7 linked regions of the Sus scrofa genome follow. The protein of the gene in region 7 interacts with the protein of the main gene of each other region in a pairwise test. Links are inferred from orthologs where the notes say so. Each region holds a gene or a part of one and is shown on either strand. Other genes may lie near its edges. The genes, in order: GOLGA2, AP2B1, NFKBIA, AGR2, HOMER3, TEX11 and nuclear envelope pore membrane protein POM 121C-like.

Evidence for each region.
Region 1: the proteins of nuclear envelope pore membrane protein POM 121C-like (region 7) and GOLGA2 interact in binary tests that used the Homo sapiens proteins (3 or more experiments, as listed by UniProt). The two-hybrid records come from large-scale screens. The link is inferred for Sus scrofa from reciprocal best matches to the Homo sapiens genes POM121 and GOLGA2.
Region 2: the proteins of nuclear envelope pore membrane protein POM 121C-like (region 7) and AP2B1 interact in binary tests that used the Homo sapiens proteins (3 or more experiments, as listed by UniProt). The two-hybrid records come from large-scale screens. The link is inferred for Sus scrofa from reciprocal best matches to the Homo sapiens genes POM121 and AP2B1.
Region 3: the proteins of nuclear envelope pore membrane protein POM 121C-like (region 7) and NFKBIA interact in binary tests that used the Homo sapiens proteins (3 or more experiments, as listed by UniProt). The two-hybrid records come from large-scale screens. The link is inferred for Sus scrofa from reciprocal best matches to the Homo sapiens genes POM121 and NFKBIA.
Region 4: the proteins of nuclear envelope pore membrane protein POM 121C-like (region 7) and AGR2 interact in binary tests that used the Homo sapiens proteins (3 or more experiments, as listed by UniProt). The two-hybrid records come from large-scale screens. The link is inferred for Sus scrofa from reciprocal best matches to the Homo sapiens genes POM121 and AGR2.
Region 5: the proteins of nuclear envelope pore membrane protein POM 121C-like (region 7) and HOMER3 interact in binary tests that used the Homo sapiens proteins (3 or more experiments, as listed by UniProt). The two-hybrid records come from large-scale screens. The link is inferred for Sus scrofa from reciprocal best matches to the Homo sapiens genes POM121 and HOMER3.
Region 6: the proteins of nuclear envelope pore membrane protein POM 121C-like (region 7) and TEX11 interact in binary tests that used the Homo sapiens proteins (3 or more experiments, as listed by UniProt). The two-hybrid records come from large-scale screens. The link is inferred for Sus scrofa from reciprocal best matches to the Homo sapiens genes POM121 and TEX11.

The regions. Positions count from the first base shown.
Region 1 is NC_010443.5:268,717,309-268,721,429, reverse strand, and holds the start of GOLGA2 (golgin subfamily A member 2), read left to right. Parts: upstream 1-1,274; 5' UTR 1,275-1,334; coding exon 1,335-1,415; intron 1,416-3,173; coding exon 3,174-3,296; intron 3,297-4,121. UniProt on the Homo sapiens protein: Peripheral membrane component of the cis-Golgi stack that acts as a membrane skeleton that maintains the structure of the Golgi apparatus, and as a vesicle thether that facilitates vesicle fusion to the Golgi membrane.
Region 2 is NC_010454.4:39,924,032-39,928,344, forward strand, and holds the start of AP2B1 (AP-2 complex subunit beta), read right to left. Parts: upstream 2,848-4,313; 5' UTR 2,780-2,847; intron 1-2,779. UniProt on the Homo sapiens protein: Component of the adaptor protein complex 2 (AP-2). Adaptor protein complexes function in protein transport via transport vesicles in different membrane traffic pathways.
Region 3 is NC_010449.5:64,506,931-64,510,983, forward strand, and holds NFKBIA (NF-kappa-B inhibitor alpha), read left to right. Parts: upstream 1-1,188; coding exon 1,189-1,415; intron 1,416-1,633; exon of another isoform or gene 1,634-1,983; intron 1,984-1,989; coding exon 1,990-2,098; intron 2,099-2,449; coding exon 2,450-2,660; intron 2,661-2,949; coding exon 2,950-3,038; intron 3,039-3,156; coding exon 3,157-3,417; intron 3,418-3,776; coding exon 3,777-3,824; downstream 3,825-4,053. UniProt on the Homo sapiens protein: Inhibits the activity of dimeric NF-kappa-B/REL complexes by trapping REL (RELA/p65 and NFKB1/p50) dimers in the cytoplasm by masking their nuclear localization signals.
Region 4 is NC_010451.4:86,051,018-86,055,110, reverse strand, and holds the start of AGR2 (anterior gradient protein 2 homolog precursor), read left to right. Parts: upstream 1-1,278; 5' UTR 1,279-1,316; intron 1,317-4,093. UniProt on the Homo sapiens protein: Required for MUC2 post-transcriptional synthesis and secretion. May play a role in the production of mucus by intestinal cells. Proto-oncogene that may play a role in cell migration, cell differentiation and cell growth. Promotes cell adhesion.
Region 5 is NC_010444.4:58,919,888-58,923,012, reverse strand, and holds the end of HOMER3 (homer protein homolog 3), read right to left. Parts: intron 2,947-3,125; coding exon 2,790-2,946; intron 2,443-2,789; coding exon 2,332-2,442; intron 2,224-2,331; coding exon 2,137-2,223; intron 1,009-2,136; coding exon 817-1,008; 3' UTR 539-816; downstream 1-538. UniProt on the Homo sapiens protein: Postsynaptic density scaffolding protein. Binds and cross-links cytoplasmic regions of GRM1, GRM5, ITPR1, DNM3, RYR1, RYR2, SHANK1 and SHANK3.
Region 6 is NC_010461.5:56,922,205-56,926,348, forward strand, and holds the start of TEX11 (testis-expressed protein 11), read right to left. Parts: upstream 2,901-4,144; 5' UTR 2,885-2,900; coding exon 2,848-2,884; intron 1-2,847. UniProt on the Homo sapiens protein: Regulator of crossing-over during meiosis. Involved in initiation and/or maintenance of chromosome synapsis and formation of crossovers.
Region 7 is NW_018085157.1:60,513-64,733, forward strand, and holds the start of nuclear envelope pore membrane protein POM 121C-like, read left to right. Parts: upstream 1-1,417; 5' UTR 1,418-1,511; coding exon 1,512-4,221. UniProt on the Homo sapiens protein: Essential component of the nuclear pore complex (NPC). The repeat-containing domain may be involved in anchoring components of the pore complex to the pore membrane. When overexpressed in cells induces the formation of cytoplasmic annulate lamellae (AL).

The sequences.
Region 1 (4,121 bases), on a different chromosome or scaffold from region 7:
GAGCCACTGGCCTGAGCCAGAAAGTGGGGCTGAGATTTCTCTGAGGAAGCTCAGCTTTAAAGGATGCGTAGGTATCAGTTTGGCCAAAAGCTGGAAAAACAGTATCCCAGACAGGGGTCAGTGTATCCAAATGCCCAAGACAGGAGAGAGCACATGTGTTTGAGGGAATGAGAGTGGTTTCCAAGGGGGTGGAACGGGTGAGGGAGGGACAGTGGGAGGGAGGGACAGTGGTGTGGAAAGAAGGAAACCAACCAACCACTTGTGGCGCTGGCAGGAAGGAGGAGAGACGGAGCCCACTTGCAGAGCCTGGGGTACCACTGACGAACGCCAGGATGCTCTTTCTTTTTTGAAGCTTGGTGGGCAGGAGGAAAAGAAGGGGAAGGACTGCGAAATGACCTGGACTTTCTCCGCAGAATGAGGTCAGCTGAGGGAAGACCTCGAAGAGGGCAGCGGGTGGGTCAGCCGCTGCTGGGGACGGAGAGGGGGGCTGGGAGCCGAGGGAGCTAACCGGGTGGGAGGGCCGGAGAGGGGGCAGAGGCATACTCACAGGGGATCGGAAGGCCCCGCGGCAGCTTTTGGAAAGTCCTGGTTGAGTCCTGGAGAGGAATCCAAGGGAAAAAGTTGATTGGACCCAGAGTCCGCCTCGGCAGGAAAGCGGTACTCTGGGGGTGTGAGAGGAGGGACAGCCGTGCGGGAGGAGCGACCGCGACTGGATGCTCCCGGGATCAGGGTGGGGTTCCTCGAGGAGGGTATTCGGACAGGGGGTAGAGTGTGGAGGAGCGGATGGAGGCCTCTGGAGCTGATCTCAGGGAAAAGAAAGTTGGGGGCAAAGCTACGGGAGCGAGAGGGACTGGGAAGGGATGTGCTTTCCCCGTGCTGTCCGCTCCTCGCCCACCTCCTCAGCCCTGGGGTTCGGGGCCCCCGACTCGGGGGGGTCTGCAGTGCAGGAGGGTCCAGGGCGAGGGCGAAAAAGAGGCCTCTCAGCCCGCCAGCTATTCCGAATCCTGTGATGGAGACCAGGAGTCGTTATACAGCCAGCTGCGCGCGCACCCTGCGAGAGCAGGCCCCGCCCCTCCCCCCGCCGAGGTGGGCGGGGACCGCGGCTGCGCGCGCAGCCTGTATTATGACTCCACCCGTTCCACCTGGCTCGCGGCGGCCTAGCCACGCCCCCTTTTCCTTTCATCTTTCCAATCGGCCAATGGGATTGGAGAATCTAGGCCACGCCCACGCCGCTGCTGCCTAGAACCGCCCCGGTCCCTCCTTTTCTGGCTCAGTCGCACAGTGGCGCGGTGACTGCCGGAAGCAATTCCGCGGTGGTTGCCGGGATCGTGCTGATGTGGCCCCCCCTTCCCCCGCCCCGTCCCGGGATGTCGGAAGAAACCCGACAGAGCAAATTGGCTGCGGCCAAGAAAAAGGTAAAACACGCGGGGTCGCGGCTCCCTGACTCAGCCCGAGACCCCTTCGATGGCCGGGCCATGGCCAGAGTCTGTGCTGCCTCCAAGGCACACGGGGCGAGCCCCTCGGCGCCCCTTGGCGCCCCCCTCAAAAAGTCTTCTCAGCCAGTCCCGCCCCCTGGCAGCCCAGCCCCCGCCCTCACTCGTCACCCCCGGGTGACTTTGGGCTGGTGACCCCCGGGGCTTCCCGCTTCAGGTTCGGCCCTCGCCTCCCGCCGCCCAGAACCGGACCTCTTGGGCTCCCTGGGCTCCCTAGTCTCCCGGTCTCCAAGGACCTCGGTCCTGGCCTTGCGCTCCCCTCCCCCACCGCGGAGCGGCGACTCGGGCGTCGGGAGGGAGGAGTGGAATGTAGTTACGTCATAATCCCCCTCGGAACTGTCATTACCGCCCGGAGCCCGAGCCCCGGTGTTTGATACTACGACCCGGTCCCCTAGTGTTTTCCCACCCTTTCCGGTTTCTTTGGCCGCGGCACAGATTTCCAGCTTGATGGGAAGTCGGAACTATCGGACCTAGGTCCGACTTGGGTTTCAGGCCCCTTTACTCTAGACTGTACCCCATCCTTGGATGTTGATAGCGTAAAAGACCCCCGCTTTACACTTCACCAGTGATCTCAAAACATGGACATCATCTCTGGGTGGCAATGGGGAGAATGTGTTTTGTTTAGTTTGGTTTTCTCCCTGGTTTCCATCCAGAGAGACTTTCACATTTTTCACCTGAATTTTCTATCTCTAATTCCCTGTGAATCTGAGGCCAGAGTGCCCCTCATTCAGTGCTCTTTGGAGTGAGATCTGCTTATCCTCTGTGGAACAGATCCCCGGAAATTGAACTTCCCAGCTGGGGAATCTTTCCCAAATCATCATCTCAACATCCTAAGTGCCGCAGGATGAAATGTGGGACCGCAGCATCAATTTGGCTTGATTCTCTTGAGAGAGAAGCCTTTCGTATTAATGTAGTTAGGGATGACATTTGCATAGACTCATAAGGTTGTAATAGACTTCTCTCTGAGTTGTCCCCTTTCTGTTACATTTCCAGATTTACTAGGGGTGTTGCTTTCACTGTCTTCTGCCATTAGGATAATGGGTGTGAAAGTTTGATAAGAACTGGTGTGCAGCTCTAACAGGTGTAAGAAAGGACCCTGATGTCTGATTAAATGTTTACTTTTCCACCTCTGCCTCTGGCAGCTGTTGACAGATGTCATAACCCCAGAACTCAGTGTCTGAAGACTGAGTTTAAATTCCCTTATTACCCATTATTGCTTTTTTCCCCCTCCCTAGCCATGTTATCAGTCCCTTTCTTGAATCATGGACAATTATGACACCTGGTAGAGTTGCTGTAACATTAAATCTGATGGCATATGGAAGAGTATTTTGTAATCTTTTTAATTTTATTTTATTTTGGGGGGACCACACCCATGGCATATGGAAATTCCCAGGCTAGGGGTCGAATCAGAGCTGTAGCTGTCAACCTACGCCACAGCCACAGCAATGCCAGATCCGAGGTGCATCTGTGACCTACACCACAGCTTACAGCCATGCCGGATCCTTAACCCACTGAGCGAGGCCAGGGATCAAACCTGCATCCTTGTGGGTACTAGTCAGATTTGTTTCTGCTGAACCGTGATGGGGGACCTCTGTATTTTGTAAACTTTAAAGTAGGATGTGAAATGGGGGGGGCGCACTTATAGTTCTCATGAGTCTCACTGCTTTTCCCTTTTTGCAGTTAAGGGAATATCAGCAGAAGCACAGCCCTGGTGTTCCTGCAGGAGCTAAGAAAAAAAGAAAGATCAAGAATGGCAGTAGCCCTGAGACAACCACTTCTGGGGATTGTCCCACACCTGAGGATGTGAGTCTTGCCTGGCTGGCTTCCGGGGACAACAGTAGAGGGTAGTGGTTAAGATTGTGGAAGAAATGTCAGATATTGGCTAAGAATTTGGGGTCTGAATTCTACCTCTTCCTCTGCTGGGGATGTGTTTGGGGCAACTTGTTTAAACTCGTTGGGTCTATTTCCTCATTGGTAAAACTGGGGTCGTACTGTCTTACCCTTGGGAAGCTTGAATGAGATTGTCGTTGGTTTTATAATAATCCCCTAATACGGGGCCTGGTGCAGAGTAAACATTCAATCAGGAGTCCTTGCTATTTGACTCTGGCCATCTTCCTCACGCCCAGCCTCAAGGGGAAGCCAGGCAGTGCCAACAGCCGCCTGCCCTCAGGCTCTCCATGTAGAAGCACCAGCAGAGCCCCAGGGTGATCTGAGGGGGTTCCTAGGCACTTGGATTAGGAGACCGTCTGAGTTTCAAGGCCATCTTTGCCACCAGCTTGCTAGGTGGCCTCAGGACAATCACTTCCTCCCCTGGGCCTCAGTTTCCTCATCTGTGAAGATGACACTGTTGGATCAGATCATTGTCTTTCAAACTCAGTTTTTTAGTGGTAGCCCCCTTTGTTCAAGCAGACCCTTATTCTGAAGTCTGGTTTTTAAACGTCTGGGCCTAAGGGTCTGAGTTGCCGTGAAGAGCTGCATTGTTCGTCTAAGGAACTACGTGACTGCATCCTCCAGGGGACTTTTCCACCTGTTTGTTTACATTGGTTTCTGTCTCTGGCAAGGCAGCCAGGGGCTGGTAGGAAAGATGGCACAGGCCACGGTATTGGTCCCTTTCTCTCTTCTCCAGCA
Region 2 (4,313 bases), on a different chromosome or scaffold from region 7:
CTATGTTAAAAAATAAATAAATAAAGCTGCCACAGTCGAAAACATAATTACTCTTATTTTCCTAGCTCCGAGTGTGATGTCACTGCATTTCAGAAAAGGCCTCTCTGTACAAGATCATACATCTAGATTTAACATAACCTAGTTTCTACTAAATATAGGTTGTAAAAGTCCCTTCTCAACTATTCCTCTCCCCTTCCACTGCCCTAAAGAGAATCAGGCCAGAAAAAAATTAATAGGGTGTTAATTTCAAATGGTTCTCTGGGACATGGCAGCTAAATTAGAGTTGGCGAGGCCACTAAATCTCCTCTCTTCACATAAAGTTGGGCTTTACACAGTTGGTATTTATAGGGAAAAAGTGAAACAGTAAACCAAATTATAAAGCAAAAAGGTCATTCTACAATCTTTCATTACAAAGGTGAGCGGTGCTAATTAGAATTTTCAATAATGCAAAGGCAATAGCATCTTCTGGTACCATTTATCGCATAAGAAATTACAAGAATTGGGAGTTCCCGTCGTGGTGCAGTGGTTAACGAATCCGACTAGGAACCATGAGGTTGCGGGTTCGGTCCCTGCCCTTGCTCAGTGGGTTAACGATCCGGCGTTGCCGTGAGCTGTGGTGTAGGTTGCAGACGCGGCTCGGATCCTGCGTTGCTGTGGCTCTGGCGTAGGCCGGCAGCTACAGCTCCGATTCAACCCCTGGCCTGGGAACCTCCATATGCCGCGGGAGCGGCCCAAGAAATAGCAACAACAACAACAACAAAAAAAGACAAAAAGACAAAAAAAAAAAGAAATTACAAGAATTGACTACAACAGACACAGCTGTAATTTCCATTTAAAATTGACTACAAAGTAATTTGTTAGTTCTATACAGTGGGAAAGAAGTTTTACATCCAACTCTTAACTGAAATAAACTCTGGAAAACTTAAGCCTGGAAGGAAAGAAAGAAGGAAGGAAGGAAAACATGTCCTATCTAATTCTATGCACCTTGGTTCAAAACTGTGCCTAGGAGTTCCCGTCGTGGCACAGTGGTTAACAAATCCGACTAGAACCATGAGGTTGCGGGTTTGGTCCCTGGCCTTGCTCAGTGGGTTAACGATCCAGCGTTGCCGTGAGCTATGGTATAGGTTGCAGACGAGGCTCGGATCTGGTGTTGCTGTAGCTGTGGCCTAGGTCAGCAGCCACAGCTCTGATTCAACCCCTAACCTGGGAACCTCCATATGCCGTGGGAGCGGCCCTAGAAACGGCAAAAAGACAAAAAGACAAAAAAAAAAAAAAAAAAACCTGTGCCTAAAACAGGTTAAAATATGGGTTTAAGGGTCCCACGTTGCTGTGGCTCTGGTGTAGGCTGGCGGCTACAGCCCTGATTAGACTCCTAGTCTGGGAACCTCCATGTGCCACGGGAGCCGCCCTAGAAAAGGCAAAGACAAAAATAAGTAAATAAATAAATAAAATATGGACGTGTATAAAAAAGAAAAAGTTCTTCTGAACTGGACTTCCTTGAGTCTCTTCAATCACAGAATGTTAACTTATATTAATTTTGCCACCCAACTTTCACTGAGGCGATTAGCAGAACACACTATGCTTTCTGCTTCTTTGGGAGTTTAAAATGTTAAGATACCTGCAAAGAGTTCTCACCTTACCACCACGCTTAGTCATCATTGGAATGTGTTACACGTTTTCTTGTACAGCTGCACCTCCTTCATCTGCTTTCTATTATTACTTTGTAAGTGTACCCTGAGGCTAAGCAATAGAAGTACACCAGGAAGGTGATTAATGATTTAAATTGTTCCCCGTAGAGACCACTTTCTTTGCCATTCTCCCTTTTCTAAAATTATGGCGTTTACTTTCTCTTTTAAACCATAATAATTATAACAGTGTTGGCATTTAAAAAACACTTCTTTTTAAAAGTTAAAGTTTAATGAAGCGTCCACATTTTATTCACACTGCTTCATAATGAGGCAGCATAATGACAACTTCGTAATGAAAGAGTTCAAAAAAAAGCCTGCCCCCAAAAAGAAGGGTGCTCTGAAAACAGCATGAATCAATTCTTCGGATTCAAAGAATATATATGGAATAACAGGAAGTTCCCGTGTCTTTACCTCTGTCTTAATCTACAGTCTTTCTCAAACCAGACCATTCCTGCTAAGACCAGAAAGAAAAAATTCCGGGCTAAGATTTACTCCCACTTGCTTCCCTCCCCCTACATAGGGTCAATTCCGGAGGTTTTTCTTCCCTTTCTCCAACGTCAGGAATTCCTCCTCCTCCCCCCAGATGGTCATGACTCTAGGGATAGGTTCCTCCATTACAAGGTGGGGAAGAGGTGTCTCAACCTCAAAACGACGGGAGACTGGCGAGGATTGCTTATCAATGAGCAAAGCTTTGGGGGAATCCCTTTTCCCTTCTACTGGCTGGACACGTCCCAGCCTCTCAATGAACGACGCCAAACCGGGAAGGAAGGGTCTCCCCCTGGCCTCCAGTCTTTACTGGCCACACCCCTGGCCCATGGCCCTCGTAATCCCCCGACTTCAAATATACCTTTCTTTCCCCCAGTGTCCCCCAACTCCCAGTTGCCACCCCGAGGATTCCCCCGCCCCGCCTCAGCGGTGGAGTCCCTTTCTCCAACCCTATTCCTCACAACGGTCACACCCGACGGCTCACTCCCTCCTCAACGGTCACGCTCCTAGGATTTCCTCTCCTCCGCTCGTCTCCAACCTAACCTGGGGTTCCCCCTTGCCCATCAAAGAGGGACACACCCCAAAGTTAGCCGCCTTGAACTCACCGGAGGCAAGGGTGGGGGTGGCGGCAGCGGCCAGAGAGCACGGCCCGAGCGGTGTTGTAATGGTTTCCTGCACGTCACGACTCCTTCTCCAGGTCTAAGCCACTGCGCAAAACCCACTTTGCCAGGGACAAAGATGGAGGACAGGAAGCCCCTGACGTCAGAGAACCTCGCCGCGTGGCGTCATCCAGGCGCGCGAGAGCACCAGAAAGGCAGCGCTCTCTGTCGCCTTGGAGACGAAAAAATTTTGCGCGGCAGGGAGAGACCTGAGGTCAAGGCCTCTGAGGAAGTTCAGTGGCTCTCCTAAGGGATCTATTAAACAAGCTGATAGTCTTTGGAATTTGTTTCCTCGCGTAGGTATTCTTTAAAAATTTACACATACGGTAAAAATCCCCTGTTGCTTTCTGTTAAAAACAAAAAACCCCGGCTAATTTTCCTGGCCAATTCAAGGAAGTGAACAATGGTGATCCAGCCCAATGGTGATCCAGTGGGACTGGAGGAGAGTGGGGCAAGGAAAAGAGGCTAACATAGCATCAGAGCTGAGTTCGAATCCCTGTCCTGAATGTGATTATGAAAGTAACTTAATGTCTCAACCTTAGCGTTCTTACCTATAAAATAAAGCCAATGATATAACTCAATCCAGTTTGTGAAGTTTTAACTGGATTAAGTAGATAATATGCCTAGCATGTAATATGGGTGCTGGCACAAAAGCAGCCTCCTTCAGAAACCAAGATCCAAAAATCTCTGCACCTTCCCCTCAAAACATCCCACCTTAATCTTAAGTAATAATGGGGGGGGGGTGTGCTGGGGTTGTGGGATGGAAATCCTATAAAATTGGATTGTGATGATCACTGTACAACTATAAATGTAATTCATTGAGTAATTTAAGAAAACTTAAGTAATAATAATAAAGTATTTAACCAAAAAAGATAGGAAGACAGCCTGAGGCAGAAGCTTGGAAACCAAAATACAAACAGGACTAAGGGTAGAGAAGTAGAAGGAAAAGCAAGCAGTTGTAATGATGTAGGATGTTTTTAGAGTTCTATGAAAGTATAAGAACTATATATCTCTTAGGCCCAGCTTCCCTCCCCCAAATTTGTTGAATGAATAAATGTATGAATGAGTGGTCAACAGTAACAGCTGCTATAGAGAAAAGGAGGAAGGGCTGAAAAGTGTCCAAGGATTTAGCAACACAAAGGTCTTTGATGTCATTGCTGAGACCATCAGAGATAATGAAGGCAAAGCCCATGCTGCAGAAGTGCGAAGATAGATGGGAAGGAAATGAAAACAAGAGTTACAGACAAGGAAGTCCCATTGTGGCTCAGCGGGTTAAGGACCCGAGTTTTCTTTGTGAGGATGCAGGTTCTATGCCTAGCCTCACTCAGTGGGTTAAGGATCCAGCGTAGGTCACAGATATGCTGCTCGGATCTGATGTTGCCATGGCAGGGGAATAGGCCTGCAGGTCCCATTTAACCCCCTAGCTTGGGAACTTCCCTATGTAACAAGAGTTAGAGATAATTCCCTATATTAATGAAAT
Region 3 (4,053 bases), on a different chromosome or scaffold from region 7:
CTGCCCCCTCCTTTGTCCCCCAAGAAGCCAGCAGGGGCAGGATGAAGGCCACCTTGGGGCTGCCCTGAGCCTCCTGCAGTATGCCTGGCAACTACTTTCTTAGCCATCTTTAAGGCCCAATCTTGGGTAAAATACTACTCAACCCATTCTTTAGCCACCTTCTCCAAATGCTTCTAGAAAGCGGCCCCCACAAGTAGGTTCTCTGCAGCAGCACAGTGCAAATGGAGGAACACGACCTCAGTAATTATTTTGTCACTGCAAAGTATCTACAACCTTTGCTATAAAAATTAACACCTTGCTTTCCCTGAAAAATAGCCCAGTCATATCCAGCATTTTCCAGCATCCAGGGCAGAGTGCTTGCTCCTCCCCCAGTCAACAGGACTGTTCATACCGAGGAAATGATTTGAGGGTTCTCTAAGCATTTACGCTGTTAATGCTAAAGCTTTCACGACTTCTACCTGAGGGGGGCTTGAGGGAGGGGGAGGTTTATGTCCCTGCACTGCCAGGAGCCTGGTCTTTGGTAGGAACGCAGAGGCAGCCGGCGACCTTCCACCCTCAGTGTGTCCTTCCCCAGGAGTTTAGGGAAGTGAATCCCTAGATCCAGCCAACATTTCCACTCCCATTTTCAAGAGATTAAAAAAAAAAAAAAAAAAAAAAAAGGAAAGCATCGGCAGGTCAGCAAACCAGCAGTTCTCCATCCTTGGGATCTTAGCAGCCGACGACCCCAAATCAAATCGATCGTGGGAAACCCCAGGGAAAATAAGGTTCCATGCAGAGGGCCAGGATTACTGACTGCAGGCTGCAGGGAAGTACCGGGGGAGGGGGCCGGGTCGGGAGGACTTTCCAGCCACTCAGCGTGCATTAAAAAGTTCCCTGTACATGACCCCAGTGGCTCATCGCAGGGAGTTTCTCTGATGAACCCGGGCGCGGGGTTTAGGCTTCTTTTTCCCCCAGCAGAGGACGAGGCCAGTTCTCTTTTCTGGTCTGACTGGCTTGGAAATTCCCCGAGCTTGACCCCGCCCAGGAGAAATCCCCTGCCAGCGTTTATAGGGCGCCGCGGCGGCGCTGCCGAGCCCACAACAGTCCGAGGCCATCGTCCCGCCCGCCCGAGCCACCGCGAGCAGCCAGCGCGCCGCGCAGCCTGTGGCCCGCGCACCTAGGGAGCAGCGCCCAAGCCCTCATCGCGCCATGTTCCAGCCCGCAGAGCCCGGCCAGGAGTGGGCCATGGAGGGGCCCCGGGACGCGCTCAAGAAGGAGCGGCTACTGGATGACCGCCACGACAGCGGCCTGGACTCCATGAAGGACGAGGAGTACGAGCAGATGGTGAAGGAGCTGCGCGAGATCCGCCTCGAGCCGCAGGAGGCGCCCCGCGGCGCCGAGCCCTGGAAGCAGCAGCTCACCGAGGACGGAGACTCGTAAGTGTCGCGGGCCCGGGTGGCGGGGCCGGGTGGGGGCGCTGGGCCTGCAGCCGGAGGTGCGGGGCCCGCGCTGCGGCCGCGAATCGGGGTTCGTGCACGGACCCCGAGGCTGTGCAAAGGTGCACGGTTGCGCGTGGGAGCCGGGGATCGGGGATTGGGGCCGTGGTCCCGCGGCTCTACCTTGCAGCCGTGCACACCTCCCACCCCTCACCCACCTTTGCGGGTCCCCTCGGCCGGGGGCGGGGCGGCCACGGGGACGCGAAGTCCCCGCTTGCATAAGGGGGGGCGGGAGTTTCTGCCCCGCTGGCGGGCGGGAGGGGAAGTACAGGGCGTTCCGGCCCGGCGGGAGGGCGGGGCGGTCTGGCCGGCGCCCGCCGCCTGGGGAGGGGGGGGGGGCGGAAAGTCCCTGGGTGCCTGCCAGGAACACTCAGCTCATAATAACCTCGCGGAAAACACCGCGGCCTCGGCCTCCAGAAACCCCGGGCTTGCGCAATCCCCTGCGGGCTGTGCCTCCCTGGGCCCCACGCAGTGCACTCACCAGCCCTGGGGGTTTTCCCTCTCTTCCCCTCAGGTTCCTGCACTTGGCCATCATCCATGAAGAGAAGGCACTGACCATGGAAGTGGTCCGCCAAGTGAAGGGAGATCTGGCTTTTCTTAACTTCCAGAACAACCTGCAGCAGGTGCGCTGCTTGCCCGCCCCGTGCCTCTTGGGTTCTGCCTCTCTGACCCCTTGATGGAGCTGGATCTAGCACAGTTATTTCCAATGATTTCCCAATTAACTGCCCCTAGTCATGATCCGCCCTGAGCTTTTACATCTGAATCAGCCAACATCCTAGAGAGGAAGGAAAAATCCCATTGATTTGGTGAGGCTTTTATGAAGCCCACCTGGGGTCTCCCGTCTGTTTCCTTAACCCCTTGTATCTGTCTGGGAGGAGCGGCACGCACAACCAGGATATCTCTAGGGTTCAAGGGGAACATGGATTGTGGGTTTGATCCATGGCTTATCCTTTCTGTCCCTCTTCTGTTGGTAGACTCCACTCCACTTGGCGGTGATCACCAACCAGCCAGAAATCGCTGAGGCACTTCTGGAAGCTGGCTGTGATCCTGAGCTCCGAGACTTTCGAGGAAATACCCCTCTACACCTTGCCTGTGAGCAGGGCTGCCTGGCCAGTGTGGGAGTCCTGACTCAGCCCCGCGGGACCCAGCACCTCCACTCCATTCTGCAGGCCACCAACTACAATGGTAAGTCTGGCTGCCCTATGCATCAGAGGGCACGTGACACAGACAAGGGAGAGGTGGGCCGACTTAAGGCAAGGTGTAAACTCTCAACACGTGAAAGGCTGAGAAAACATGTATGCATCAAGGTCTTAGTAAAACATGTATGCATTTGATGCCTTACTAAAGTCCATTCAGAACCCAGAGTCTGGGTTCTTCAAATTCAGAAGACCTCCTCCCTTAAAAGAATAGGTGAAAGTTCTGAGAAGTGAGGGTGGCAACAAGTGCTTATATTTTGTTACTTTTGGTACTCTAGGCCACACATGTCTGCACTTAGCCTCGATCCATGGCTACCTGGGCATTGTGGAGCTGTTGGTGTCTTTGGGTGCTGATGTCAACGCTCAGGTGGGTGCTTCAAGCCTACAGATGGAGGGCATTCAGCCCTCAATAAGATCACATGCTCTTGCTGCTAGCAGAAACCTCAGACTCAGCCATAAGCATCTCAAATTCCTTTTGGTTTCAGGAGCCCTGCAATGGCCGAACCGCCCTGCATCTTGCGGTGGACCTGCAGAATCCCGACCTGGTGTCGCTCTTGTTGAAGTGTGGGGCTGATGTCAACAGAGTCACCTACCAGGGCTACTCCCCGTACCAGCTCACCTGGGGCCGCCCAAGCACTCGGATACAGCAGCAGCTGGGCCAGCTGACCCTAGAAAACCTCCAGATGCTTCCAGAGAGCGAGGATGAGGAGAGCTATGACACGGAGTCAGAGTTCACAGAGGATGAGGTGAGTCCCAATGACCTTGTTCACGGGTCTGCAAAAAGCAATGCTCTCGGACCCCTAGAGCTCCTCCTTTTCCTGAGGGTCTCAACATAATGAGGATCTCAAATTAGGGAGCATAAGCAGTGTCCTAAGAGTAGGTTTAGGGGGAGGATTATGGTCTGGGGTTTTCTTTTGCTTTTTTGCTCTTTTTGAAGGAGAGGATCCTTAAAGGAAAACTTCAGCCCAGGAAGTTAATTCAGATTCGGGTTAGAGGGAACGGAGTCCAAGAATACTTGCGTTATTTCCAGTAGCAGCCCTTGCCATCACCCCAGCACCTTTGGCAAAGTTCTGGAAGTTTAACATGCCTTTCTTTCCCCTTTTAGCTGCCCTATGACGACTGCGTGCTTGGAGGCCAGCGCCTGACGTTATGAGCTTTGGAAAGTGTCTAAAAGACCATGGACTTGTACATTTGTACAAAATCAAGAGTTTTATTTTTCTAAAAAAAAAGAAAAAAAGAAAAAAAAAGAAAAAAGGGTATACTTATAACCACACCGCACACTGCCTGGCCTGAAACATTTTGCTCTGGTGGATTAGCCCCGATTTTGTTATTCTTGTGAACTTTGGAAAGGCGCCAAGGAGGATCATCGGAATGCAGAGAGA
Region 4 (4,093 bases), on a different chromosome or scaffold from region 7:
GACTCAGATCTGGTGTTGCTGTGGCTGTGGCGTAGACCGGCGACTACAGCTATGATTCGACCCCTAGCCTGGGAAACTCCATATGCCATAGGTACGGCCCTAAAAAGACAAAAAAAAAAAAAAAAAAAAGTTTACAGACTTGAAAATGTTTTGAAATATTACAATCCTAATTTCTTTTAAAAGTTATTTTTGTAGGGCTTGCATCCCATTAATTAATTTTCTGTTGTTGAAGATTTCTCCATTCTGAACTTTGAAAGGTTACACACAGTTTCATGAAGAAAACACAAGAAAGACTAAAAAAAAAAAAAAAAGCTTTTTGGCTGTGCCTGTGACATGTCAAAGTTCCTGGGCCAGGGATAGGACCTGTGCCACAGCAGTGACCCAAGCCGCTGCAGTGACAACACTGGATCCTAAACCCACTGCACCACAAGAGAACCACACAACTAAAATTTTTTACAGAAAATTTGAGTTCAGCTTTAAAATGTTGAGTGAATAATTACATAATATTGAATGAGAAAAAGTAGTTGCAGACCTTAGTTTCTAGGTCTGAAAATGGTATAAATGGCTTCCTGCATGCTTGGCAGGAAAGTATGCTATTAAATGAGAGAAGATCTATGAAATATCCTAGAATTCTTTGGAGGGAAATGGCTGCAAGGTCATTAATAAAAACTCATAGTATTAGGATTTTTTTTTCAATAACTGCCCTAGTTTTAAAATACTATGTGAAGGCTTGGTTTGTATTTTTTCATACGTATAGTGAGTGTACATTTTGTTTGCCAAGGAGAGGAAGTACATTGTGTAAAATAATTTATACTCTAATGGAGGACAGCAGCTCATATGACGGTAAGAGTTAGAACTGTGAATCATCTCTTGTGCATTTTCAACTAAATAGAGGCTATCTGCCCAAGAGGGAGAAAAAAAAATTCTACAAACCACAAACTCCATCCAATCACATAAAGACAAATCAACCTTCAGGCAAATCAAATGTCTTCACTTAAAGCTTACCTGGATTTGGCATTCTGCCCATCTTTTCCAAATCTCTTAACAATATACTTTCACAAACAGTTAAAAACATGCATACTGAAAGGCAACCCCTTTGCAGTGTTATTTTTAAAAAACAAGAACTCTTTAGCCTACGGGGGACTTGGGAAAAGAAAAGTTCCTTTTGGGGGTTTGCAACCTGTGAATACGGGATTAGTGGGTGGGACTGAGGTGCGCTCAGGTGCATAAATAGAGGCTTGGGCTGAGCCAGCACACTAGGAAGCTTGGACCGCATCGCTGCCGGCTCACACAGACAGGTGGGTGGGGAAACTCAGGTAAGGCTCCTGACAGCAGTATTAGAAGGGCACTTGTTAGAGTGAGTGCTGGCTTCTGGTTACTGTATAAAGTTGCAGGCAATCAACAGGCAGAGGAATGCAGGGTAGTCCCAAGGGCAGTGAAATTGAATTTGGGGAGGAAATAATGGAATTTCCAACAAAGGTTTCCTGGGGCCTCTCTTTAGCAGAGCTCTGTTTCTGAGCAGATTCAGGGGTAATGGTTTCTCCCTGAGGAAACAGAGGTTTTAAAGTGAGCAAACTCTGGGAGTTTTCAAGCCTGGCACAGAACCCTGGGTCTTCTGTCTTGGTCACTGGGCCTTGATCACCATCAAATGCTCTGCTTCGGTCCCACTGGCTAAAACCAAGACCCACAGAACTGTAAAACCTCAGCTCAGATTGGTTGCTTGGAACCGCAGTTCAGAATATTACTGCAAATCAGCAGTTTCCTTTCTCTACCTGATATAAAGATATCCTTGTTGCTTCTTCAATCTTTAAATTTTGGGATAGGCTGTAAAAGGAGAGATCTGGTTGCTTTCCTGGAGCATTTATGAACAGGAACACAGAACCTCCTGCAAGTCATTCCTTGCTAAAGTCGAGAAGACAAAGATACAGGGACCAGTAAAAAGTGCTGGTTTCAGTGTGTGTGTATGTGTGTGTGTGTCTCCAAATTATCAGTGTCTTACCATGTCTTCTGTTTTGGGGTGGTTTAGGCAGGCAATTTGCAGAGCAGCATCTATTCATGTAATGAAAACCTGGTACAGTGAATCTCAGTCAGCTCAGAGCAGGATGTTTATACAACAGGAGTGATTTCAGCTTCTTTGAGTCATCCTGGCGTAAAATACACATCAGATAGCAATAGTTCCAATCAGACAGCTTCAGAGCTATAGCAAGGGTTTCTAATGCCACTTGCACAATGAGAATTGTCAATGGACTAAATGAATACATCACTGCTCACTGTTATTTTTTCTAATATACATTGCTATAAATCAAATACAAAATCAAATATCTGTTAATAAATTTAAAGTCATTATTTGCCATGATATTTTTCTGACTCAGCAAATATCCCAAAAGTAATTATTCTCATATAAAGGTTCTTGAGTTTTGTTATTGTTGTTGCTTATATTAAAAAGAAGTCTTTGTACTAAGAAGGCTGAGCATTGTTGACTTATATCACATTTAAGTTTTTTATCCAAAATGCTGGATATGAAAATTGTTATTGGCATGTCTGCATCTTTAAGTGTATAGAAGATGAAGAAAGTATATCTCTATTTTTGCTTATATCATTTTTGAGTGAGACATTGTGTGGCTACATAGTACAACATAGATAATAATCAGTCAGTTTAATACAAGACATCATCTAGATTTGGTAACTTGGCAATGCCTTTTTTTAATATTGGATAATGCTTAGCAAAAGTTCCCACTCAAGCCATCAGAAGATGAGAAAAAAAATTTACACCTCAAAAAGACCAAGAATTTTATAGTAGTCCATCTTGATTCCTTTGCAAAATATATTTATTTCAAACCAACACCAGTATTAGAGTGGGGTGTTTCTTTTTAACCAGTTTCAGTCTTTGGCTTTGCTAGCATCCCAAGCCTCCAGCTTTACATGTTATGGTCCCTGGATAACCTTAGTGATTTGCTAGTGCAAGTCACTTTGCTGGCTAGCTCACTCCCTCACATACTCATGGATCATACCTTCCCCTCCACTTTCCTGCTTATAAGAATCTGCTTTGCGGTAGTGTAACATTCGAGAGAATTAACTTTGGAATACTGGAAAGGAAAAACAATTAACAAAGAGGCATCCATGGGGTTGGTTTCTCTGTGTGGGCCATATATTTTTGTGGGCCTATTATACAGGCTCACACTGAGAGTCAAAGAATCAGCTCACTGGAAGAAATTTGCACCGATGTATTTTAACCAATTCAGAACCAATATATAGAGTCTGAGTAAATGTTACACTAGGGAGAGCGTTGTGTGACTGCAAGTCTCTAGCTGAAAGTTGGCAGTTTTCAAATGAAAAAAATCATTTTACTCAGACCTTATTTTTCAATGGCAATGTCCTCATGTTAACAAAATGTACATCTAGGGTAATTTTTTTCAGGATGAAAAGATGGGAGCCAGCACCACAAAGTGATAAGGTGCAAAAACTTTGCTTCTATGCCCATCTCATTAGTCTTAATTTCTCTGAATTTCAGATTCTTCACCTATGAAATGAGGCACTGGGGAGATGGGAGAAAAGGAGAGGCAACCCCTAAGATCCATTCCACCACAAAAATTTTTTAAATATAAAATTTAAAAGCAAATCCCCTTAGCTATAAAAATATATATATATCTTATTTCCTTAAAATATATCTGAATCTATTTCTATACTTTTTTTTTTTTTTTTTTTTTTTTTGGCTTTCTAGGGCTGCTCATGCAGCATATGAAAGTTCCCAGGCTAGGGGTCATATTGTAGGTACAGCTGTCAGCCTATGACACAGCCACAGCAATTCAGAATCCTTAACCCACTGAGTGAGGCCAGGGATCAAATCCATATCCTCATGGATACTAGTCAGGTTCGTTTACTGCTGAGACATGAGGGGAACTCCTATATTGTAGATTTCTATGGATATCTTCATCAGTATATTTTATCTATCTGGATCTACATCTAAATAGAGGCAGACAGATAAATAGATAGGCATTCATACTGTATAATCTTAGGAAATGTCTATGGAAGGTAGTTTTTCATTCAATTGTAAGTGTTCAATCCCATCTAAGCCTCACCTCCTACCTATTAC
Region 5 (3,125 bases), on a different chromosome or scaffold from region 7:
TGCTCAATAAATGGATCTTTTGACTTTCCTGGTAGGACTCTCAGGGAGAGGGGGCAGAGGGAGGAGGGTGTGGCCGCCTGTGGTTCTCCAGCCCCTCAGAACATCATGTCGCCCCCACCCCTCCCCTCAAGTTCTTCATTCTGCTGGACCAGCCCCAAAGCTTTGAACTGCAGGGCTGACCATTCCAGCTAGGTGACCTTGGGTTGGTGAAGCCCCTTATATGGGCCTCATCTGGAAAATGGGAACAGCAAGTGCCCTACTCTGCAGATGCAGATGTGAGGTTTAGGCGAGATCACATGCTAGCGAACACAGCCATGTTCTAGGAGCTTCCCCACCCGCCCACCTGGTGGCATTGGGGGTTTATGGCCAGAGCGAAGGGGGGCAGGCTTAAGCAGGGTCTGCCTTAGTCCAAACTGGTCCAGAAAACATGGGCAGAGCCCTCCAAATGGCTTACCAAGCCCTATACAGACTGAGGGCGGACAGAGGGCCCAGTGACGGCGGTCAGGTACCCATGGCTCACACACCACACACACACAGCCACGCTTAGAAATGTAATGTGGGCACTGGTATGCACCCCAGGGAGTCTAGAAATTCTACACAATGAAAAGCTCAAAAACAGCCTCCGAGCTGTGAACAGCCGGGGCTGACTAGAGTACGGTGGACAGGCCTTCCCCAGGCTGAGCTGGGCCCCAGTCCCTGTCAAGGTGAATGGCCCACTGTGCCGCCTGCGGCCTGGCCCGTGCCCCAGGCGGGAATCGTTCATGTAAAACCAGCTCCCGTGGGCACCCCTGCCCCCACGTAGACCCGGAGGCAGACTCAGGGCGCGCCCTCGGCCAGGCGGGCCAGGCCCTCCCGCAGCTCACTCAGCTCAAAGAGCCTGACGTCCAGCAGCTGCGCGGCCCGGCCCACCTCGGCCCGTGCCCGCTCCCGCTCTACCCGAGCCTCCTCCAGGCTGCGCTCAGTTGCCCGCAGCTGGTGCTCCAGTTCCGCGTTTCGGGTCTCCAGGTCCTGCAGGGAGAGGGCAAGCAGGGTTGGGGGCCCCAGCAAGTTTGAAGGGTCCAGCATCTCAATGGTATCCCCACAGCCTCCACTCTGGGCCAAACCTTCTATGTCACCTGGCTTCCCTGGTCCCCCTGCCAACTTGAACATCATTGAACTGACCACTTTCCTCTTCTATTCAAAACTCTCCTGTCACCTATCACGCTGGGAATGAAATACATAGCCCTCTTTCCTCTCTTTGTTCATTCCAACTCAGCCTTGCTGGCTTCCTTGTGGTTTCTTGAACATAATGACTCCCCCACCCCACCCCAGGGCCTTTGCACATGCTGAACACTCTGCCCAGAAGAAAACAGGGAGCATCCCTCTCCCAATTTCTCTCTCTTTGGGGGCAGAAGAGATCCTCTAAGTTCTCTACCTGCTGGACTCACAGGACATGCCCCCAGGAACATTTCTCAGATAAAGTCTTCAGTGAAAGCCAGGCCAGCCGCACATGGGTACAAATGAAGGCTCCCAACCTCAGGCTGGGGATGTGTGAGGATTTGATGGGGTCAAGAATGGAGATTCAACAGAGATTCAAAAACTGCTTGTTGGGAGTTCCTGCTTCGGCTCAGTGGGTTAGGAACCCAACTAGTATCCATGAGGAGGTGGGTCTGATTCCTGGCCTTGCTTAGTGGGTTAAGGATCCAGCGTTGCTGCAAGCTGCTGCGTAGGCCATAGATGTGACTCGGATCTAGCACTGCTGTGGCTGTAGGGTAGGCTGGCAGCAGTGGCTCTGGTTTGTCCCTTAGCGTGGGAACTTCCATATGCTGCAGCTGTGACCCTAAAAAGCAAAAAACAAACAAAAAAAACAAAACAAACTCAAAACTGCTGGTTGCATGAAAGGAATGAGATGAAATATTATACTAATAACTTGCTTATAAACCACCCACTGTGACTCAATCCCTCCATGTACCTGGTCACCTGAATCCTTCACAACCTTAGATGTCTTCCTGACTGCATTCATAGATGAAGAAACTGAGGCTCAGGGAAGCACATAGCTGCCCAGAACCCACCAGGAAAGGGAGATCCCATGTCTGTCCCATACCAGGGGCTGGGGGCCCTAGGCAGTCATCCCACCCTCACAGCAACCACACACACCTGCACCTTCTGCTGTGTCTCCTCACGTTCGGTGGTGTCTGGTGCCTCTCGGGTCCCACCAGTCTGGCTCTTCAGCGTCTGGATCTCCTGGTGGAGAAGTTCCCAGGATCTGTTCTGAGGGTCCTGGCTCCCCCATAGGAGATCAGGGAAGGCAAAGTCCAAGGAAACACACATGCACACAGACAGTTCACACACCTGGTCCTTGGTTTGCACTAGTGCCTCCAGTTGCTCCAGAGACTGGCCCGGCCCCTCCTTCTCAGTGACTGTGGGTGGCTCAGTGGCAGCCTGGGCCTCCAGTTCAGCCACCTGCAAAGATAGGAGGGTCAGTTCCCTGACCCCCAGTCTGTACTCTGCTGACCCGTGGGGAATATGCCTCCTGATCAGTCAAGCCCATGACTGGGCACTCACCCCTTCTATTTGGGGCCACCACCCTGACTCTGGCAGATGAGACTTTAGGGTCCTAAAGGTAGGACAACCCTCTGAGGCTCACATTATTTCAGACCCATACTACAGAGCACAAAACTAAGGCTCAGGTCAGGGAAGAGACCTGCGGAGATCACACAGCCAGCCAGCGGACCCGAGACAGACAGGGCGCAGGGACTTCACAGTGGCCTGGACCACTTGGGGTCTCTGGGAGGGAGGGGCTCCCTCACCCGCTGCCGCAGCCTGTCGGCCTCTGCGCGCTGGGCCTCCAGCTGCTGCCTCCACTGGGCGGCGGCGGCGTTGGCCTCTCGAAGGGCGCCCGCCAACTTGTTGTTACTGTCCTGCAGCGCGAAGAACTCGGCCTCCCACTGCACCTCGCCCACCGAGCTGCGGGAACACTGGAGTCAGCAGAGGGCAGGGCGGGGCCTCACTGGGCGGAGGACCGGGTGAGGGCGGTGCTGTGCTAGGGGGCGTAGTTATGGGCGGGGTCAAGATACCTCGAGGCTACAGGGTGGGAAGGTACCGGGGGAGGCGGGGTCTTGCGCGGGCGGGGAGGCGCTGGTCAG
Region 6 (4,144 bases), on a different chromosome or scaffold from region 7:
GTTGCTGTGACTGTCATAGGCCAGCAGCTGCAGCTCCAATTTGACCCCTAGTCTGGGAGCCTCCATAAGCTGTGGGTGCTGACCTAAAAAGCCAAAAAAAAAACAAAAAACAAAAAAGCAAGTCCAGGAGTTCTCACTGTGGCACAGCAGTTTAAGAACCCAGTGTTGTCTCTGTGGCAGCACAGGTTTGCCCTCAGGCCTGGTGCAGTGGGTTAAGGATCTGGCATTGCCACAGCTACAGTGTAGGTCATAGCTGCAGCTGGGATTCAATCCCTGGCCAGGGAACTTCCATATGCCAAGGGTACAGACCAAAAAAAAGAAACATGGCAAGTCCAAAATGAGATATGCTTTAAGTATAAAATACATATCAGAAGTTCCCATTGTGGCTCAGCTGGTTAAGGACCTGATACAGTCTCTATGAGGATGCGGGTTCAATCCCTGGCCCTACTGGCCCCACTCAGTGGGTTAAGGATCTGGCATTACCACAAGCTACAGCACAGGTTGCAGATGCTGCTCAGATCTGGTATGGCTGTGGCTGTGGCGTAGGCCTCAGTTGCAGCTCCAATTTGACCCCTAGCCTGAGAATTTCCATATGCTGCACGTGCGGCCATAAAAATAAATAAATAGATGGATAAAACACATATCGGACTTAAAAGACTTTGTACAGAAAGAAAACAAATAATGTAAAATATTTCATTAATAATTTTATATTGATTACGTATTGAAATTATAACATTTTAGACATACTTAGCTAAATAATTTATATTATTAAAATTAATTTTTTTCTTCCTTTTTTTGGCCACACCCTCAACATATGGAAGTTCCCAGGCCAGGGATCCAATCTGCACCAAAGCAGTGACAATCGGATCCTTAACCACTAGGCCACTGGGAAATTCCCTATTTAACCTTTTCTATTTTTTATTTTTGTCTTTTTTTTTTTTTTTTTTTTTGTCTTTTCTAGGGCTGCACCCATGGCATATGGAGGTTCCCAGGCTAGGGGTCAAATCGGAGCTGTAGCCACCAGCCTATACCAGAGCCACAGCAACGCCAGATCCAAGTCACGTCTTCAACTTACACCACAGCTTACGGCAACGCCAGATCCTTAACCCACTGAGCAAGGCCAGGGATCGAACCCACAACCTCATGGTTCCTAGTTGGATTCGTTCACCACTGAGCCATGACAGGAACTCCCCTATTTAACCTTTTTTAAAGTGGTACTAGAAAATATAAAATTATTTATGTTTGCATTACATTTCAATTGGTCAGCACTGCCCTAGAGCCTCACACACTGGTGCTCAAGAAATAATTTAGTGAGTCATAAGTAACATTTTTTAAAATGAAAAGGTATAGAATATTACACATCATAGTGCACTGCATGTAATAAGGTTAAAATGATTTCATTAAACTTTTGATATACTGTGATGTAAAATACATTTCCTTGCCATAGGTGGTGGTCAAAATGTTTGAAAGCTCTTGATAAACTCTCCAAAATAGTGTTAGTTGTCATGCTGTTGTTTGTAATAGCAAATATTTGAAACAACTCATACATCCAACAAAGTAGATTGGATAAATTGTGGTACACTCACATTAAATGTAATAGTGCTAATCAATAGTGTAAATAAATGAACTAGAACTAAAATATCCACATGGGTAAATATCCAAAACATAATACTGAGCAAAAAACACAAGTTGCAGGGGAAATAAAAATCATACAAAATGATACAATTTATGCAATATTTTAAAAGACGAAAAACAGGTACATTAATCTTTTAAGTTCTTTGGAACAGCAAAACATCTGAAGCATATGGAAAACTATTAAGATTCAACAAAACTCAGTGGTAGTTACATAGGTATTCATTATATTATTCTCCTTTTCTCTGTGCTTCAAATATTTATTTAAACACAATGTCTAAAAAAAATATACTTAAAAGTCATAATCTCTATTTAATATTTATATTTTTAAGATACTATAACCTAAATTAAAATTTAAGGTAGCTGGTAGTGGGCTTTGTTATTGCTTCAAAATGACAAGTGCTAACAAACTATTGACCTAAACTTTCTGAAATCATAGATTTGTAGCCACCTTGGTTACAACATATTTCACTATTATATGAAATCAGATCTGATCATATCCCCAGAAAAAATGAAATGTGATAAACTCTCCCATACCTGGCATGGTTAAGGAATCTGGTGTTCTAGTCAATCAAATAACTTTTGTTTACTAAGAATTCATACATAGAATACTAATTTTCAAAAGAATTAAGATACTACATATATATACATATATATACTACATATATATGAGCCACTGTACTATACATCTGAAACTAACACAACATTGTAAATCAACTATACTTCAATTTATTTTGGCCACGCCCAAGGCATGCAGAAGTTCCAGGGCCAGGGATGGAACGGGTGCCACAGCAGCAACCCAAGCCACAGCAGTGACAATGCCAGATCCTTAACCCACTGAGCTACCAGGGAACTCCTAATTTATTTTTTACTGATGATTATGGAAAGGCACTTCAGGACCTAACAGTAATTTTTAATGTATTTTTAACACAATAAATTTCTATGTCAAATTAATCCAGTGTCACTTTGCATGCCATAAAAATCCAAAGAAAATAAGCTATGAATTGTGAATTATTATGAATTCTATTTCCCTACACTAACTTATAAAAGGGCTCCAGCGTCTTAAACATCCACCCTGTTTTCTGGTACCAAAATGAGAAAAACTGGTTTTATAGATATTCCAGAAAGATAAAATTAGGCAAGGAAATTCATTTAGAAGATCTTACATAAGTCAGCAAACAGATTGACATTTTCTACCATATATAAGCTATATACCTTTAAAGTCCATGAAACGAAAATCAATATCGTCCATTTTTAATATCTCTCGGTCAGGCCTATGAAATAAGAAAATACTTTAATATTCTGTAACTCATCTTCCAGTTTCTCAATAAATTTCAATTTTTTCTTATTACTTGTTAACCAAAAGAAAAAATGCTGTGAAAATTTTAAAACCCAAGAAAAAAGCAGTTATGAGAGGCAGGACCAGGTTGCCCGGCCACATGAACCCGGGCTAGAGGAAATTTTCATCCCAAGTCTCTTCTTAGGACAATCTGCCCGGCAACACGAAAATCGGGACTTGGGGTACCCTGTGATTGGACCGCCTGGTCCATACGTTCAAAGCAACCAATCACTGACACTCCTTTTTCCCGCTCTCACAGACCTGCCTAGCGCCTCAGCTCCCCGCCCCCACAGTCACCAACCGTCAGCCTTCAACCGATTTTAGGTCCTTCAAATCCAAACTACAGCATCTATCATATTCCGTTTTCAGTGATCCCGCAACGCTCCCCCATACTTCATCCAAGTCCAAAAATCCTGCCTTCGCCCACCTTCCTTCATCCGAGAGTCAGCGCCATAGTTCAAAACTGTCGCCTCAGGATCACTTTAAAAGGTGCTGACCTAACGGGTCACATCTTCTTGCTAGTTAGAACCCATCCAACTAACCTGCATCTGACGCTCCTACAAAGACTACTCACCTCAGCCAGGACCGCTGACAGCACAATGCTCTCTGTGACCGACCACGGCCCTGCAGTGCCAGTAACTAACGCTTGGAAAGCTCCTCCCCCCATAGTGACGTCAATCAAAGGCACCGCCCAATTGACCTTTGCCCTCCATCGAGAGTCTGAGCCTCCTGGTGGCACAGTGCGGGCATTAAGTTCTAGGGATGCAGTTCAGAGGGCCGGGGTGAAAATCACTAAAAGTGAGGGAGTATAGTGCAACACTGAAACATAGCGCAATTGTTGTGAGAAGTGTGCAGGTGTGGAGAATTAGAGAAAGAGGAGAGAAAGGCTTTGAAAGAAAAAAGGGGATGGGAGAAAAAGGAAGGGGTTAGAGGAAGGAAGAGAGGGAGGAGAGGAGCGAGGGGGGAAAGAAAAGTAAACAATGTTGCCCACTGGTTATTAAAGAGTCAGAAATGTCATAAGTTGGGAGGTCCCCTTGTGGCTCAGCACGTTACAAACCCTACTAGTATCCATGAGGTTGTGGGTTCAATCCCTAGTCTCAGTCAGTGGGTTAGGGATCCATTTCTGGGAGCTGTGATGTAGGTTGCAGACAGGGCACAGATCTGGTTGCTGTT
Region 7 (4,221 bases):
CTTTTTGTGTTTGGTTTATGTGATTTAGCAGGTCTTCCAGGTTCATCTGTTTTGCTGCAAGTGGCCGGATCTCTTGGGCATTTAAGGCTGGATAACACACACACACACACACACACACACACACACACACACACACACACACACACACACACACACACACACACACACACACACACACACACACACACACACACACACACACACACACACACACACACACACACACACACACACACACACACACACACACACACACACACACACGTTATCCATTCATCTGTTGTTGGGCACTTACCTGGTTTTCTTATATTGGTTATGGTGAATGTTCCTGCAGTGAACATGGGAGTGCAGATATCATTTTGAAGTACCGATTTCATGTCCTTCAGTTTGAAATTGCTGTATCCTATGGTATTTTTTTTTTTTTCCTTTAACTTTTTGAGGAATCTCCATGCTGGTTCCCACCATGGCTGTACTAATTTACATTCAAATGAGATGACCTCATTTGGTTTCTTTTTAACCATTCAGATGGAATCATCTGAATGATTACAAGTCATGTAGTCATATGAGGGAACAAGTAATCGGTCCTTTGGAAGTTTTAAAACTGTGGGGCACCAAAGACTATTATTTTGGTCGAATATATTAGACTATTTACCTGTCTATCTATGTAAAGATAGTGTTTTATTTGTGTTCTTTTCTGAATCCTCTAAACATTTTAACATACAGACATGTAGTACGTTTCTCCACTTTCTCATTATTTCAACCGTAGATAAAAATACAAAGATGATGAATCATTCATCATATGGAGATTATGTTTAACATGTCTTAACATGTTACTTAGGTCTATTTCAGATTTGGAAAGTGTTGTAAAATCAAGTACAGTACATCCCACTGAGGTTCCCCTTTTGTCTTCATTGATAGCCTCATCCCCTGCCTGTGTAGCATTATCCTAAAGTTGACATTCTCCAAGCATTTTTATGATATAGGTATATGTGTCTGTATCTTACCTATGTGATTATTTTCACTCAAGTATATCTGGCGCATGCACATTTGTTTTGGGGGTTTTATTTTTGACTGTTTGTTATTATTATTTATTCCGGGGCTACCCTTGCTTGCGTAGTCACGGTGTCTGCAGCAGCTGCGGTGACTGCAGGAGGCAACCTGTGGAGCGGAGGTTGATAGCCAGTGTTAGGGACCTTGGGTCTGTGGGCTGGTGCCGCCAGGGGCAGGGGCAGCGCTGCTGGGCCTGTGGCTGCTGGGCCTCGTGCTGTACTTGGTGCCCGCGGGGGTGGCGGTTACGCTGGCCTGGCTAGCTGTGGGGGCGACCGCGGCCTGGTGGGGCCTGCGCCGCGAGCCCCCCGAGGTTCACGCGCCTTCCGAACCTCGCTGGTTCTGAAGGCGCGCTGCCATGGAACACTGCTCACCTTGCCTCCGGCGTAGTCAGCAGTAAACGGAAGTCTCCTAGAGCCTCCGCGCCTCTTCCAAGGACTTGGACCCGCGCTCATCTGTTCCTCATGGGCAACTACCTAGGCAAGCCCGCCCCCCCGCAGCCTGCCTCCACCTCGGAGGCCAGGGACCTGCGGGAGAGGCCTGGCCGCCGCCCGCCCACCCGCCCCATGCCGCCAGCTCCATCAGGCCATACCCCCGGGGTTCATACTCACCCCTCCCTACCCACTCCTCTTCCCCGACCCTCTAGGAGGACGGCCCTCCGGGGTTGTGGCCCTGTAGCACATCGGTTTGTAATAACACCTCGAAGGAGATACCCAATCCAGCAGGCCCACTATGCCTCGCTGGGGGTCCTTCCCACGGTGTGCTGGAATAGTTGTCACAGGAAGACTGTGCTCTCTGCTCGCAATTCCAAAGTGGTGTGCAGCCCAGTGAGAGTGAGGATTGCTCCTCCGGATAGCAAGCGGATTCGTCCCCCGCTATCAGAGCAGAGTAGCAGCTCAACCGTGTCCTCCCCATCAGCTAGTGCCCCAGACCCATGTGCAAAGGAGACTGTGCTGAGTGCCCTCAGAGCGAGGAAGAAAAGGACGGTGAAGGAGGAAGACCAAATACTGGCTGATGGCCAGGAAGAAAAGAGAAGGCGCCAGGACAGCAGTGGACGTGGACATTCAGCATTTGAGCCGCTGGCGGCCAGTGGAATCCCTGCCTCTTTTGTGCCTAAGCCTGGGTCTCTGAAGAGAGGTCTCAGTCCCCAGAGCTCAGATGCCCACTTAAATAAGAGGTCACGCACCTCTTCTCTGAGCTCCTTGACCAGCACGTACTCAGGCGGCGTGCCCATCTCCAGGCGCAATGCCATCACCAGTTCTTACAGTTCTACTGGAGGTCTCTCTCAGCTGCGGAAGAGGAGTGGTCCTAGGTCATCCCCCTTCTCCAGGCCAGCTTCGTCCTGCTCCCAGGCTCTAGCGAGGCCAGCAAAGGAAATAAGAGAAGAGGAACTTTCTCATCATTCGGCTTCTTCAACTGCATTCACAACAGACAAGGAGTCCCAGGGAGCAGAAGTTGCCGATACCACCACAAGGGAGAAAGAGAACTCGTGGAGTTCTCCACCAACACCTGGCAGCTCAGGGCAGCGTAAGCGGAAGGTGCAGCTGCTGCGGTCCTGGCGAGGGGAGCAGCTGACCTTGCCTCCACCTCCCCAGCTTGGGTATTCAGTCACTGCGGAAGACTTAGACTTGGAAAAGAAAGCTTTGTCACAATGGTTCAGCGAGATCTTGGAGGATAAGACTGATACTGCCTTGAGCGCTGTCCCTGAGAACCCACCTACCGGTCAGCCTCCGGTCTCTTTCAGCCTGCCTACTGCTGGGACTCCTGCCACCAAAACCTCCCTCCCAGCCCCAAGCCCTAGCCCACTGTTGAAGAGCTTGAAGAAGCAGCAGGATTCCCCAGGCCTACCATCGCCCCCCAAGTCTGCTGGCATGGCAAGCCCTGTGGCCCATTCGCCTCCGAAGACACCCAGCCCTCTGGCCCCTCTTGGCTCTTCACAGTCAGGGCCTCTCGCGGGCACCTCCTCGGACTGCAAACCTACAGCCGTTTTCTGTGGCGGCACCCTTACCCCCGCTTCTTCCACAGGACCAGTCACTGACACCAAGTCACCTCCAGCCCCTGAGGCTGAGACGTCTGCCAACTCCCAAGCCTTGTCGGCCCCCCCTCCCCCTCCCAAGCAGAACATTCCTTGTAGAATGCTGGGCACCTCACCTGCTAAGCCTCCTGCCTCTGCAGCTCCTGCTGTGTCTTCACCATCTCCCGTGCTAGATCCCATTTTTTGGCCCCCTCCTAAAAGCAAGAACGAGGGCCCCTTGCCCTCTAGCCCTTCCAAGGTCCCAGCCACCACATCTTCCAGCTCAGCCCTCCCCGCAAGTACCCGCAGCCCATCCCGCACTTTTAAACCTGGCTTTCACACCAGGGAGGCCCCTGCATCCGTGCCCATAGTAACTCCCTTCTTCAAGCAGGCAGCTCCTCCAGCCAGTGCTATGAGCGCCCCTCTCTTCCCTGGCCAGACCCGCGCCACCTCTGCAGTGGCTGCTGCGACCACAGCTGGCACCTCCGTAGACTCTGCTCTGAAGCCCGTGTTCAGCTTCCGTGTGAGCAGCATGACCAGCACCCTGAGCCGCGTGACTAGCACCACCGCTTCCACCTCCCAGCCCGTCCTCTTTGGGACTCCCTCTGCCTCTGGTGGCAGCTTCACAAACCCAGCTGTGGGTTCCAGCTCCATAGTCCAGCTTGGTAAGCCTCCCACCATGCCTCCTTCAAGAGCAGTCACCAGCTTTGGCCAGTCCCTTCCCGGTGCCCCTCAGGCAGTGGCCAGCAGCAGCAGCAGCAGCAGCAGCAGCAGCAGCAGCAGCGCTAGCACTGCTGGCTTTAGTGATTTGGGCAGCAGCCTTCCAGCCTCTGCCCCAGCCACCACCAGCCAGGCCACGCTGACATTCAGTAGCACCCCCCGCCCAGCCATCAGCGTTCCCTTTGGCTCAAGTGCCAAGCCAGGATCCAACGCCCAGCCCAGGTTTGGGGCCACTGATGGGCAGCAGCAGTGGGCTGCCAAGCCATCCCTTGTCCCCAGCTTGTGCAGCTCCTTCACGTTGGGAAACTCTGCAGCCCCCGCCCCGACTGCCACTCCAGCCACAGCCCAGCCAGCCTTTGGCAGCACCACACAGTCCACTCTTGGTGGCCTGAAAGCCACAGCCTCTGCCTCGGGCACCCTTGCCGGCCCCCAGCCAGCCT